Cricetulus griseus: one gene and its partner. The protein of the gene in region 2 purifies or fractionates together with the protein of the main gene of each other region. This does not show direct contact. Links are inferred from orthologs where the notes say so. Each region holds a gene or a part of one and is shown on either strand. Other genes may lie near its edges.

Region 1 (7,463 bases), on a different chromosome or scaffold from region 2:
GCCTGGAATGAAGGGCCAGAAGGAAAGACCATTACCAGTGAGGTCAGAAGGGACAAGGTACTTTCTCTTGTCCAGATCAGGGACCCTGGCTTTAGGAGCCTTCTCCACGATGACCTAGAAGGAGAAAGGAGAGGGGATGAAAACTGCCTTTTTCCTTCCACACCATCTAGGCTCAATGTGATTTTCCAGTCCTTGCTTCCAGTGCTCCTTGATCTCATGCAACTACAAATTACCTTATAAAGAACAGTAAGAGACACTTACCTTATGGTATTTTATTAAAGAATCAAAATGCTGTTCTGTGCTCCTAAGATAACTTAATGACCTATTAGTTTTATTTTTTCCTCTAAAATACCATTTTTGGACTGGAGAGATGGCGCGGTGGTAAAACCACCATATGTGAAAGTGTGATGACTAAATTCAGATCCCTAAAATCTGTGCAAATGCCAGGTTGGACCTGTAGGCCCACCACTTATCCCAGTGCTGGGAAGGCAGAGACTGGAGATCCCTGGGCCAAACTGTCTGGCTGGACTGGCAGGCTCTGGGTTCACAGTGAGTGATGTGGACAGTAACCAAGAATTACACCAGACATCAACGTCTGGTCTCCTCCACATGCATGCATATCTGCACACAATCACACACACGGCCACTCACATGTGCACAGCCTTCAAGTTGACTGTCTCAGACACTGCCACAGTGACAGCTAATAAACACGGGCAATGTGGCTCAGATTTCAATCTTTGTAAAAAAAAGTGTTCACCACTAAGTGAAAACTATGGCACTTTATGAGGGCACTGAATTATTCAACATTATTAACTATGTTAGGATTTTAAGGGACTTTCAGTATCTACATTAAATATTTTTAGTAACATTTTTAAAGAATTTTCATTTTTGTAATGAAAAATACACATAAAATCTTGGGATTTTTTGTTTGTTTTTTGAGACAGGGTTTCTCTGTGTAACAGTCCTGGCTGTCCTGGAACTCACTCTGTAGACCAGGCTGGTCTTGAACTCACTGAGAGTTGATTGTCTTTGCCTCCCAGGTGCTGGGATTAAAAGCGTGTGCCACCACCGCCTGGACTCTTAGGTAGATGTTTATATATTTACTTAGAAAATAGAAAATACATTGCAAGAATATTAACATTAGATTCTTTGTTTTGAAGAGCGCATCTTAGATATGAGAAATGGGAACTACCAAAAAGTGAAGAAGCAGAAACAGACACTGGACAAGTCTCCCTAGAAGCTGTGTGACCTTCAGGATGTCTGTGACCTCTCTGGGCTTCTGAACAAGCAGCACCCCCAAAAGACCATATGAATAAATACATGTAAATGCCTGGGTAGACAGAGGTGAATCCAAACATTCAAATTAAGTAGAAAAGAGTTCGAAAAGGAGATTAGTAATGGACAAAAAAAAAAAAAAAGTAAGGAGAAAAGGCAGGCTATACACGGCAGAGCACAGGAAACAGGGGGAGCCCTGGTATTTACCACAGGGACTCTGAGACCTGGCAGCTTCCTCCAAGAATAGAGAAAACTGTTTTCTCCATCTGTGGCAGGTGGCTCATACGCCATAGGGCTGTTTACAAATGTTTAAAAATAGTGTGTCCAGCAGTTCCTGCTATTACAGGTTTCCAACACACTGTTATTTCAAGATCCCATGATCCCCTCTCCCAAGGCCCACACATACCTCTTCTGAGGCTAAGCTTAAGTTGTGAGTCAGACTGCCTTAGACACTTAGTGGCTTTCCTGTAAACACCTGGACATAGTAAGATTCAGTTCTGTGCCCAAGGTACAGGAACTCAGGTTACAAGGCTGAAACAAAACCACATCGCTGAGGATAAGGGTATACCCAGTGATAGAGGGACCACTGGGCAAAGGGCTCCATGCCCAATGCTGCCCCCAACCCAAATCTCTGCCATTTAGCAGAGCTCTTCTGTCACAAACAGGGTAAGAGCCATAAGTGGAGAATCTCTCAAGTTGAGGATCCATGAGATCCCAGTGATCTTTCTTAGCTTATAAATTATCACTGAAATAAAACATTCAACATCAAGTCATAAGCAGGAGAAGAATAAGGAGAAACTAAAATATCCTGGGTGAGTGCTGTAACCAAGCGAATGAGAGAGGCTCATTTGAGAAACTATAGAGGTTTTAACTGAATCTGAAGACGGACACCGCAGCTTGTGTTTCTGTTAAAGTTCTGAGTAACGGGTAGACATTCACTTAAGTTTCCTGGCTGGCACTGGTCTACCAGCTGAACTCCAGATGGCAGCAAGACTTAACCTACTTCCAGGACTCACCTATGTAAGGTGTAACACTTAATTCTGGTTAATCGAACTGGACTACACAAACTGGGAAAGGGGACAACCTAAAGGTCAAGGGCTCTGGAAGCCCAAAGCATGGCAGCCAGGCTGAAATCCCTCTCTGGCAGCTAGCACTGTCAGACCCCACCTTTGGGTGGGGACTTCACTCCCCAGTACTGCAGGCTTATGTCTGTAGCACCTAGATTTTAATGGTGTGAGTCGAGTCAGTGAATAGGCAGACAAGGCATTCAGAGTGCTGCCAGCTCTGTGGGCCATGTGTCATTTTAAAATATGAAGGGGGGGTGACAAATCCAAGACAATCCTCCATGGAAGTAATATGTGCAGGACTGCGTGCTAAGAAGAAATGACTAGCGTGTTTCCAGCCTTTCCCTAAAGACCCTGGTGCATACAGTGGAATAGTTAACTCTCCCCTTCCTAACAGGAAATGGGGATGAGGACTTTTCCCAGTTGAGCCTACATTTCTTCTGCTAGCCATAGCTGAGAGGACCGAGGAAACCCCCCCTCACCACCACCACCACCACGAACAGTACTTATGCATCAAGAAAAATTATTAGGTAAGTCCGGCTCGTTTACCCATTAAAGCTATGAGTAATGCTAATCTAACATCATTGCCTGTACAGATAAAGAGAACGACTTTAAAAGTCCCTTCTCCTCTAGCTACCATATCTAACAGTAATGTCGTCCTCGGCTTCCAATTCTGCTGCGCAGCCTTTAAAAGAGAAGAAAAAAAAAAAAAAATCAGGCAAGTGGGCGGGGGGAGGGGGGGCAAAGGGAAAAACACCCGGATGCTGAAGAAGACTCCCTTATTATTTTTCTCCTCACTGCATCAAATAGGTTTTAGCCGTTTAAATCGGGGTACAATTCGCGGAGGAAAAGGTTCTCAGTCCTCGCCCTTGGGGTCCAAGGCCCAACACATCAGCAGTGCAGGGCAAGGTCCTCTTTAGCACCACATGGCCAGGGAGGCAGTGATGATGATGAAGCAAGCTGACTGTGGCGCAGAGTGACCTTGTTTGCGGGCCCGCCTGGTGGGGGTTCTCCGCCGCCGCCTCTTAAATTCTAAGAAAACGCAGCGCAGAATCTACTGACTTCTCAAGTTTTTCCCCCAATGCGCTCAAGGAAATGAGGACGGAACCCGGATTCTTTAGGCAGACATGGATGGGCCCAAGGCTCACCACCACCGCACCTGCCACTCCGGGGATGCGCTGCGTGGTCTACAAGCGCGTCCCATCTGGGGCCCCCAAGCAGCGGCTCCCGCACACACAGGCCGCGCCACGCGCACATTCCCCACCTCCGCGGGAGCTGAATCCGCTGAGTCACCCCGGATGCCAGAGGTGGGCACTGGTCCTGGCAATATGGGTTTGTCAGAGCCGGCCAGGATTATGGGATTCCGGGGACCCCCCTGCTCCAGGGCCACCCTCCAGCGCTCCGGGGCAACCGGCTCCCGAATTTCCCTGCTCGCTCTCCCCCTCCCCGCCCCCACTCACCGGCACCCGGTCCGGGTATTTCTTCCTAATCTTTTCACCTTCCTTTTTCCGATATTCGAAGGGATGGTCCTCTTTATACTGGAACTTCATGATGGACCGCAGGTTGGGGGGCTCCCCGGACGGGGCCTGCTGCGCGCGCTGGTGACTGCGTCTCGCTTCTGGCCGCCCCCGGGTCAATGTCAACCTTATCACAATCGCTCCGCCCGCGTCAGCCCCCACACGCCCGTCACCGCACTACGTGGCCAGACGTCCAAGAGAGGGACCTGGGGATCTCCCCGCCCGAAGGTAAAGGACCACCAGGTAAAGAAATCGGGTGGCTTTTCCCAAGAGCTGGGAACACAAAAACACCAGGGCGGTGTTGTGACATCACGAGGCCCCGCCCCACCCCGCCCCCGGCGCGCAGGATCTGCTGGATGGGGGTGGACAGAAACATCGATTATTTGTGTGTGTGTGCCCATTACGCTTAAGCTTTCCTAAATCACTCTAGAAAATAAAAACTCTGTGTCTTGTCTTTTATTGTTGTGATTTGATATTAAAGATGTCTTTTAACCCCAAGAATGCTCTAACAAATGTCTTCTTCACTCCCCTTCATGTTTCTTGCTTGGTGCCCAAAACAAACACACAGGAAGAAAATCCAGCTGTTTCCAGAGCAATGGGATCAGGCGTCTGGTGGTGGAAAAGTGCCAGGCATCACGAGATCTGTAGCCCACGCTGAAATGTCCTGTGCTTGCATTTTGACCTTTGCCTGGCACCCGTGGCTGGCCTGGCTTCTCCACCCCAGCTCCTCCTCCCTACTCTGGCGTCCTTTCCTTTGGATCTGTGCTGGAGCTGGTACTGAGACAACATAAACAGTGCGTGACTCAGGGATTTTGCAGAGGTGTAAGGGTGAAAAAGCATGAGGTCATCAAGGTTAGAAGAGGAGATGCCAGCCATGAACACCGGGCTTCATGCACGTTTGAAAGGGAGATGATTCCATTCACTTTGTCCTGTTCACCCAGAAGTGTGGTCCTGGGTTCTTAAACATACAGAGATCAAGCAGTTTAGGTGACGACCAACATTACTTTCCTGGGGAATTGGTACCATCTGCTGGAGAGTTGTCCTGATGAAAAGGCCTCATGGGAACCAAAAGCTCTGGCTGTCACCCTAGTGGAAGACCCTAAGCCGCACAGCCGGGGTCGGATGGCCCAGGTCCCTCTGGCATATCGGGTTTCCTACTGGGAATCTTTGGATGCTGGGTCAGAATACTGATCCTACTGACAGTGACTCTCCAGACCTGTATTTGGGGAGCATTAGAAATGGTAAAGGTAGGGGTTCGAGGATGCTTTGTGCTGTGCAAATAGAATGACTTCTAAAGCCAAGCAGCCAAGCAGCCCTTGTTGCCGGCTTTCTTCTTCTTCTTCTTCTTCTTCTTCTTCTTCTTCTTCTTCTTCTTCTTCTTCTTCTTCTTCTTCTTCTTCTTCTTCTTCTTCTGCCTTTCAAATTACTCTCAGTGGCTTGGCCTTTAAAAGACCAGAAAATAGCCAGGCAGTTGGTGGAGCACGCCTTTTATCTACAAGAGCTAGTACCAGGACAGCCTCCAAAGCCACAGAGAAACCCTGTCTCGAAAAACAACAACAACAAAAACCAAACAGACAAAAAGCCCAGAAAATAAAATAAGCTAAACTTAAAACTTAAATACCAAAACAAAATGAAATGCATAGCCAACTTTCTTGTTTTTCTCCAGGAATCTTTGAATCGCCCCTACATATAAAGATCAGTGAGGTAATGCATCACATCATTATGTTTATATTAATAATTTTCAGGCTTTATTTTCAACTTGAAACTAGTTTAATGCCCCGTTCATCATTTTACCTTTGATTCAAATACAATTAAATCTTTCAGAAGAAAACTTTACAATCAGGTAAGATGAACCCGGGGATTAAAATAGTAATATTGTTATTTTCTGAGTGACTTTCAGTTCTTTTATAGATATGTATATCTCAGTTAATTGAAGGGCAGTTAATTCTTCAGCCCAGTGACAATGTATTTAATAGCATGAAAAATAAAAAATGCAATATTAGCTAATAATTGATGAGGGTTTTCTAAATGCTAGTAGTTTACGTAAAAATACAAAATGTATTGGGAGCTGGAGAGATGGTTCAATGGTTAAGAGCAGGGGCTGCTCTACAAGAGGATCAAGGTTTGAATTCCAGCAAAGTAAACAACTCAGGAGTGGTAGCTCCATTTCCAGAGGATATGGTGCACTCTTCTGGCCTCTGCTGTGCACTGCATGCTCATGGTGCATATACATATATGCAGGCAGAGCACCCACACAAATAAAACAAAAATCACTTAAAAAATACAAAACTTATCTATTCCTACAATTTTACTATTTAGTCTAAGAAGGCTCTTTAAAATGTAGAGAGGTATGTTTATAAATTTAACATTCAAACAGATAAAAATAGTTTAAAATCCCTTTCTTCAATCAGACAAAACGCAGTGTTAAAAAGATGTATTTTCTCATGCAGCCATTCTAAAAGCTCCTTGTACTGTTCTGGCTTTTATGTTTATGAGGTTGAAACTTTTTTTTCCAATTTTTTCAAGAAGTATATTTTATTTGTGTAATATTCTCTTCATACAAACATTCTGTGTGTCCTTCATCTTTAACAGTCTTAGGTTAAAGAAAAATCTAGTAGGGTAATGAAGTTAAATAGTCTTGATTCTCTGGCTTTCTGACTTTGTGCTAATTGATAGGGCATAGCCAACTATATATGAATTAAAGAAGTCATGTTATAATACAATCCCCAGGAAATGATTAATATTTAATCAGTTAACTATTGTTAATTGTTCCCTACTTTGCTCACCTGGGGAAATTAGAAGATTCAAATAAAAACTAACACCTCCACAAGAGTTTGGCATGAGAAGATAATTAGAGCTACTTTAGTAACCAAGAAGTGTCATCACACTGAAAATGCTAGTATTGTATTAAGGATAGAAGTGAATAACATAGTATAAAAGACTCAAACACTTCCAAGAGTACCTAGAAAATCATAAAAATGGTGTGACAAATTCATGACATGGTTTCTTTCCGTGCCTTTTAGCACTTTTATTATCTTTCAGTCTTTTAATATTTTTGCTTTGGTCCTATTGATATTAATATGAAAATATTTTCAATTTTTTTATTAGTTCAAGTTAGGGAACAAGCTTGTTTCACATGTAAGTCCCTTCTCCCTCTCCCTCCCCTCACCCCCATCACTCCTCCTCGACCCCCAATCTACCCCCACCCCATCCACCACTCCCCAGGTAGGGTAGGGCCCTCAACAGGGGCTCTGCAAAGTCCACCAAATCTTCCTGTGCTGGTCCTGAGCCCTTCCCCATGTGTCCAGGGCCAGAGTGTAACCCTTTACGTAGGATGGGCTCTCAAAGTCCCTTCTTACACCAGGGAAAAATACTAATCCACTACCAGAGGCTCCCTGGAGTGCAGAGGCCTCCTTATTGACATCCATGTTCAGGGGTCTGGATCAGTCTTGTACTGGCCTCCCAGATAGTGTCTGGGGTCGATGTGCTCTCCCTTGTTCAGGCCATCTGTTTCTGTGGGTTTCTCCAACCTGGTACAGACCCCTTCAATCTTCAATTCTCCCTCTCTCCAACTAAGAGCAAGAGAAGAGGAGTAGAGGGGAGGAAA
Region 2 (7,622 bases):
ATACACACGCACATACAACACACAACACACATACAACACACAACACACTTACAAATTCAAATGTAAATATTTTAAAAAGTAAACTGTCACTTCTGTCTCACTGGTTAACTTCCAGCTATGTTTAAAACTGTAACACTAGCTACCCCTGTGAGAGGGCTGGGTGCAGGCGTGGGAAAGATTTCTAAAATGTTTACCCTTTTATGCTTTTTGATCTCTGGAATTATGAGGTTATCTTAGTTATTTTTAAAATTAAGAAAAAAATTTTGAAAACGTGTTTTTTGTAAGCTAAATGAGTTAAGACAGGGCATTCTGGAGCCTTGTATAATCCAGGCCTACGGCACCGTGGCCCCATTTGTTTCCATTGTAGAATCCTTGATTCTGGAGTCTGGCATTACATTCAGCCTACATTTAATCAGACTTCATGATATGACTTAAGATCTATTTTTGGCATTTCTTCACATCAGCATTTTTTTCACAAGTATGTCATATATAAGAATATGTATGTGTATCTGATTAGAGAATGCTACCTCTGTGGTTTCATCTCCCATGTGTGTGTCCTTTGATCAGACTGGAGATAATCCAAATCCCCATGGCCCATTTCACTCCTGGTTTTCCAGTGCACAACACCAGTATTACAGATCATAGTCAGGTGGTCAATGTCAAAACTTCTGAGTCAAATTCAAAATCCTGAAAGCAATTATTAGTACCAGATATTAAATTATGCAAACTGCAAATGTGCAAAGTTATTTTCCACAGGAATGGACCAGCAGCAATGATACATGAAGCACGACACTGGGGATGCTAAGATTTGGATTTTTCTTTTTTGTTTCTTTTTGAGACAGGGTGTCATTCTATAGCCCATTATATTTTAACACAATGACTTCTTTTTCTCATAGAAAATAAAAGCTTTAGCATTCCCAAGACACAGAATATTAAGAACCAAATGAGGCCATAGGCCAACCAGGAATGATGGCTCATATGTTTAGTGTTAGTACTTAGGAAGGTGAGGCAGGAGGATTGTTATGAGTTTGAGACCAGTTGGATAACAGAGTAGTAACTTGTTTTTTCTTTTCAGACAAAAAAAAAGGAAAAGAAAGGAGGAATGAAAATAAAGACCAGATCATTTGAGAGGAAATAAACTGGCTTTTTTTTTTTTTTGCTTTTAAACTATAAAAGCATATTTTAACACGAGGAAGAAATAAAGAAGATTTTAAAAAAAGTTCTGGCATTAATAAAGCAGTCATAAAGTCTGGTAAATTATAACACAAAAGCAACAAGTGCTTCAGAATTCAGAGAAGGATGGCTGTCTGTCAGAGGAAATGCATGCATGGAATCCAGCCACTGCAAACAGGAAAAACAGAGCAAATAAGATCCTAACAAGGTTCAATGTCTGCCCACTATCTATCTTTCCATCAGAGTGGTAAATAAAATGGATGGGACACAATACACATATGGAAAATATCAAATATACTTTCTAATTATCTATACAAAAAATAGTTCCAACAGTTGTTCTTAAAGAATATGTCATAGGGAGACTGGAGAGGTGGCTCAGTCAGGAATGTGGCTGCCACATAGCATAAACACCTAAATTCAGTTCCCTAGCACTACCTGAAAGCCAGGAGTGATGGCATGTATCTGTAACTCCAGCACAGAAATCGAGAGATAGGCAGATCCCTGAGGCTCATTGACCAGCTGTATTGATGAACTCTAGGTTTAGTGAGAGACCTTGTTGCAAAAAACTAAGGGAGAACAATTTAAGAGAGCCACTGGCCTGTACTACATGCACACACATAGATGTGGACCAGCGACACACACAAACTCCCACACAACCCACACACACACACACACACACACAAGAATACATCATAGGAAAAATATTTGCAACTCATTACATTAATTATGCTAAAATCCATCCTATAAAAAGAGCTTTAGTAAGTCAATAAGAAGATCAGGGTCTAAAGTGAAGAAACAGACAAGATTTGTTAGAGTTAAATGGGCACTGCAGAGAAAAGATAATCACAGTGGCCTTGAGCACAAGGAAAACATTCAGTCTCAGACAAACACAAATTTAAAACCATACCAAAGTACCCTTTCCACCTAGTAGACTTACAAGATTAAAATGTTTTTCAAAAATCTTGGCAAACGTCTAGCCTTGCAAGCAGTCACACTCACTGATGATGGGCAAATAAGCTGGTAGAACCCCAATGACAATACAGTTAACAGCCATTGAAATGACAGACAAGGGCACATGCCCTCTGACCCAACAGTGTTTTACTTGTGGGAATCATCCTTTAAAATGTTTTTTTATACACGCCAAATGCTACACATACAAGACTCAGCTATCACACTAAAAATTCAAGCGCTGGGAACTCTGCCTGAGCCTCCTTAAAAGGTTCAATACTCTGAGACCTCTTACCAAGTAATTCTATGCATTGAAAAAAACTAGGAAGTGACCAACAGGCACCCACGCTTACATGAGGAATCCTTACTATTCTAGCCCACAGTGTGCACAGAACACAGTGCTTCTGCTGAAACAGACAGAGAGCTAACAGCCCCAGTGGCCTCTGGGAGGAAGCTGATAAACTGGGGAATGGGCGTGGGAATGAGATTTTCAAAGGGAAGAGATTTTCAAAGTGTTTAGTTTTGTACCTTCAAACTTAAAGAATTTGGTGTCTTTAGATAGATAAGATTTAAAACATGCTGCTTGTTGGTAAATACGTGAGACAAAGCCAGCCCTCAGACTTGGTTTCCTGCCCCAGCCTAGCTCAACATGATATAACCTATTTATTTAAGGGCTCAGGTAACCTTACAACAGGATAGAGAGTTGGGATAAACTCCAGAAATAGCAATAGCTGAGAGACCCAAAGTTAATTAACATCCGCAGACAGAAACAAGACACAGCTCGTTTTCAGAGTAAACCTAGGCAAGCTGAGATCTAAAGAAAATCCTTCATGCTGCCCAAGTTAATCTAGGAAAATGACAGGCTATGTCTGTCTCTCTTGTGCATTTATTTCTCAACTTTGGGGTTAAGAAATCTATGTCCTGTAAATAGGTATCTGTTAGTGAAACTGCTTGTTCTGCACTGCGAGGGTCGTGTTTGTTACGAAGACAATTGGCAAATAAGGTTTTTCTCTGCCCTCAGAGCACTAGTACCACATGACAGGGCACAAAATCCTTCGGGGATGGAGCCAGATATTGCCTGGTGCTTACCTAGGCAGAACACTTTCTGGTGAGACAAACCTGTTGATTGGGGGCTATTCAAAACACATTCCTGCCTATTCCCTCTGGAGTTCGCCTGAAATTACTACTGCCTGCCCTCCACCCACCCACACACACACACACACACACACCACGCTGTGCAACTGGGGAGGGGCGGGGCGATGTGCCTAATCCACCTGTTTGTTTACCTCCTGCTTTCTCATCTGGGAGCAAAACCTGTAAACCCTACCCTCCAGGGGAAGGAAAAACAAACCATTCACTGCCCATCTCCGGTGGCTGATGAAGGGCAGCAGTTTTGATACTGTACCTAAACTGATCCAGATACGCCTCTGTGGGTGCAAACATCAATTCATGCCCAAGCGCCCATGTACCACCATGCTTGTAAGTACAGGTCAAGACCTGCGAGTTGGCAATACCAGGGCCGAAGTTTTCAAGAGCTCTGGGACATCCCTCGACACAGGAACACGTGGGTCATCAGACCATCACCTCCCCTTGGAGGGTGGACATCTGCAGCAAAGGTGACAGCCACTCACAGGGAAGTGCGTCTGGAGGAAAGTTGAAGCTCTTGCTTGACTACCTGTTTTCAGACAGGTGACCAAGCAAGTGGGACGGGGCTGTCACTTCCACCGCAGCGCCCAGCTCACCCTGGCCAGGCACATCCGGCCCCGGGCGCCCCAAGGTCACCTGCCCTCCGGGGCGCCCCCACCCAGCCCCAGAGCTCACCAGAACAGCAGGTTGGCACCCAGGAAGGCGAGCAGGCTGCGCAGCGGCCTCTTCCAGCTCAGGAGCTCGTCCGCGCGACATCCCAGCCACAGCACCGGCTCCCCGAGCAGCCAGGTCAGGGCGGCGGCCACCTTGTCCGCGGCCTCCTCCTCCTCCTTCACCTGCGGCCCCGCGCCCTCCGGCCCTGCCTCGGGTCCAGCCTCCTCCCCGGGAACCCCGGGCCTCGGCGCCGGTTCCTCCGCAGCCGGGGCTGGGCATCTTTGCGCGGCGTGCTCCCCGGGCGCCGGGCTCGCCATCTTCAGCGGTGCTTGGCTGGCTGGCGGGGACGGGGACGGGGACGGGGACGGGGACGGGGATGGGGACGGGGAGGGGCGCGGGCGGGCGGGCGCGCGCGCCTGGCGGTGAGCGCCCGGAAAGCAGCGGCGACCGCTCAGGGTTCGGGGTTCGCACCGTGGGGCGCCGGCAGCTGGGTGCCTTGTGACGTCAGGCCCGGCCGCGCGGGGGAAGAGGGTGCGGTCAAGTTCGCGCAGGGGCGGGGCCGCCCTGGGCCTGGCTCCGCTCGCTCGCTCGCTCGGTGGATGCGAGCTGGGCGGCGTCCGTGGGTAGCTGGGGACCAGAGGAAAATCCTTCCTTTTCCCTTCCAGCTGAGTAGGCCAGGTAGAGAGGACTCCTCTCAAAGGAAGTCTGGGGTTTGGATTTTAAAGGGGCGAGGAGGGGACAGTCTCACTTTGTCCAGCCACAGCCACCAGTCTTCCATCCTTCAGTATTGAAGAAAATGTCCGGATGCTCCCGGGCCGTTAATTTCAGCACTCAGGACTCATCACGCCCCTGTCCAGGTCCCTTACAGGGACGCCCTGCCCAACTGTGTCAGATACAAACGCTGACCTGGGAAAGGAAGAAAAGCACATTTGGGGTCAAGGAAGGGCCTCTGGTTTGGCCCACTGATTTTAGGAGTGAGGACCAGACAGGCCGCAGTGCAAACAGGTAAAGACTCTTGGTTAAGTGAGCTGTTTTTTGGCTCTGTAGTGAGAGTTGCTTTTTGCAGTGTTGGGGAGCAGAGAAGCCAGAGGATGGCCGCCTGTGACCCTACTCTGCTACTGTCCCAAGCTTCGGAGATTGCTGCTTGATTGGCTGTGTTCTCCATATCACAAGGGGACCTCAGGGCAGAGGTGGAGAATATTGCCCCCCCAATGTGGTTCTCCTGGTTGAATGTGGGAGAGAGGAAGGAATGGCTGTGAATGTCCAGTCTCCGTTTGTTCCTCCAGAATAGAGTACCCATCCTTCAGTCCTGAGAATTGATGCATCAGGGCCATCGTCTGTATCCAGCCTACTTTCACCGATGAAGTGGTTCATTCCCAAAGCACTGGAAAACCGTTGCCTCAAAGGAGCCCCTGGGTTAAAGTTTGTAATGTCCATCTAGATGGCCAATATAAACCTCTGTGTCTATGTATGCAAACATCTATGCATTATAGACTAGATGTGGACAGTTACCTGAATGTGTGTTGTAGTTGAAGGGAGCACATGCCTAGGGTTCACAGACAGGTTTGTTGACCACCTACTATGTGCTTGGTGCATTACTAGGCCCTGTGGGTGTGGCTTCCACCTGCAGAAGGCTCACAATCCAAAAGGCACCACTTATAATTGATAAATGCAGTGATGGAAACCCTCAGTGACATGAGTCCTCGTTTAAATTGCATCCAAAGTCAAGTTTCGGAAGGGTTTGGGATGTGATGGCATCTGCCCTCACTTGTAAAACCCAGAGAGATGGGGGATGGGTGGCAGAGGGAGCTGTGCTTCCTGTTGGGAGGTTAGCGTGGAAGAAGGCCTGGATGAGTTGCAGATAGAAATCAGGCATTGTATTCTCTGAGGACCTTCAGTTATTCCTCAAGTGACAATGTTTTTTTGTTTTTGTTTTTTAGCTGAAGGCAGTTTGCAACCCTTTGTCATTTCAACTTGCTTTTTTTAGGGGTACTCAGGTGACACCTCCATAGAAAGAGGCCCTGGAAGTAATGAAAAAGCAGTGTGGAAATGATTCAATCACAACACTCCCACACCACACACACACACATACACACACACACACACACACACACACACACACACACACACACACACACACACGAGACTTGGTCCAGTGTGAGATTTCCTTGCCCTTGGTTGAGGAACTTTGGGGAGATAAAGATGCTTTGGGGTATAATTTGGTTTCTGTTTAACACTCAATGGAGATTTGCACTGAGAATCCAGGGCATTGGGATTCCAGAACCAGTAAGAACCGGTATCCCTGCCATCCAAACCCAGTGTCAATAAGCTTTCAGAGACAAGTTTACAAGATTCTTCACATTCCTCCTCCCTCTAAATTCTAATTATTGTCGTCAGGATTTGTGGATGCAGTAAAAGCTGCTGGCAATGAAGTCACCAAAAGCTCTGGCTGCTGTGTGCACTTTGCAGTCTTCATTCTCTCCCTTTATGATAAATCTTCCCAGCAGCTCTGCCTTCTGATTGGCGTTCTCACCCCTCTCAAATAACTATGGAGAAAAAGCTGCTCAGATGGTGTTGTGGTAAAGACTGGACTGACTTCGATCATTCTATCTTCTTTGCCTCTGACCTCTAATAAATCCTGAAAACTTGTAGGATAGGAGTCAACACTACGGTAGATACATACAACAGTACTACTGGGTAGTTTTTCTTTACCTAATTATCTTTGTGATGCCTGAGTAATGTATTCACTCCAAGCATAGGAAACTATTGCTGAATAGAGGCAATAAGTCTTGTTCCCTACCTGTAATAGCTTTGATGTTTAAAAGCACTGTGGTGCAGGGGTGGTGGAGCAAGGCTTTAATCCAAGCACTGGTGAGGCAGAGGCAGTAACAGGAGCAGGCTGATATCTGTGAGTTCAAGGCCAACCTGGTCTACATATCAAGCTCTGGTCCAGCTGAAGCTACACAGGGAGACCCCCCGACTCAAAATCTCAAAATAAATAATTAAAAATAAGTCCAGTGCCTTCAGTACTATTTAAGATTCCTTTTTGAATTTGTCCTTGGTGTTTATTGGAAACAGGGTCATGAATGAGATATATATATATATATATATATATATATATATATATATAATATATATATAATGAAGAGGGCAAGGAAGCTCGAAAGGTAATCCCCAAAAAATCAGAGGGAGAAAAAATTGTAACTACTGGGTGGAAAAAGAACCACTCTTGAAAAGGCTGGCACAAAGCACACAGGAGAAGGTAGAAAATTCTAACACAAAAGAAAAAGAATAAATAATTAACTCCTGGGTACAGAGTCTCATTGGGCAGAAATCAAGCTGAGCTTCAGAAGAGCTAGAAACACACCAGCCAGACTGTTTTTTCCCACTTTCCCTTTGGATTCCTGCCGTGAGTCCAGGGTTCTCAAGGAAAAGGAGTCACTATGCATGTTATATGTGCCATCACTCCTGCAGACAGAACTTTTGTGAGTTAACATTTTTCAAGCATTTCTAGCCCTATCTTCTTACCATGCCTTCTCTTCCTTATTCCTATCTTTCTGGACATTTTAGTCACTGAACCAAGACCCCCCAATAGCTCACTCTAAGCACAGATCAATAAGGACATCACATAACAGTAACAACAGAAAAGGAGATCTGACCCCACCTTACATCCTCCCCTGGTCTATTTCCTAGTTGGTATC

Evidence for each region. The genes of interacting proteins can lie anywhere in the genome.
Region 1: the proteins of Retreg1 (region 2) and Gabarapl1 purify together in Homo sapiens (affinity purification with western blotting; 3 studies listed by BioGRID and IntAct, with this or other methods). This does not show direct contact. The link is inferred for Cricetulus griseus from reciprocal best matches to the Homo sapiens genes RETREG1 and GABARAPL1.

Annotation. Positions count from the first base shown.
Region 1 is NC_048601.1:16,532,072-16,539,534, forward strand, and holds the start of Gabarapl1 (gamma-aminobutyric acid receptor-associated protein-like 1), read right to left. Parts: upstream 4,159-7,463; 5' UTR 3,890-4,158; coding exon 3,800-3,889; intron 115-3,799; coding exon 36-114; intron 1-35. UniProt on the Homo sapiens protein: Ubiquitin-like modifier that increases cell-surface expression of kappa-type opioid receptor through facilitating anterograde intracellular trafficking of the receptor. Involved in formation of autophagosomal vacuoles.
Region 2 is NC_048595.1:356,641,332-356,648,953, reverse strand, and holds the start of Retreg1 (reticulophagy regulator 1), read right to left. Parts: upstream 4,410-7,622; 5' UTR 4,239-4,409; coding exon 3,943-4,238; intron 1-3,942. UniProt on the Homo sapiens protein: Endoplasmic reticulum (ER)-anchored autophagy regulator which mediates ER delivery into lysosomes through sequestration into autophagosomes.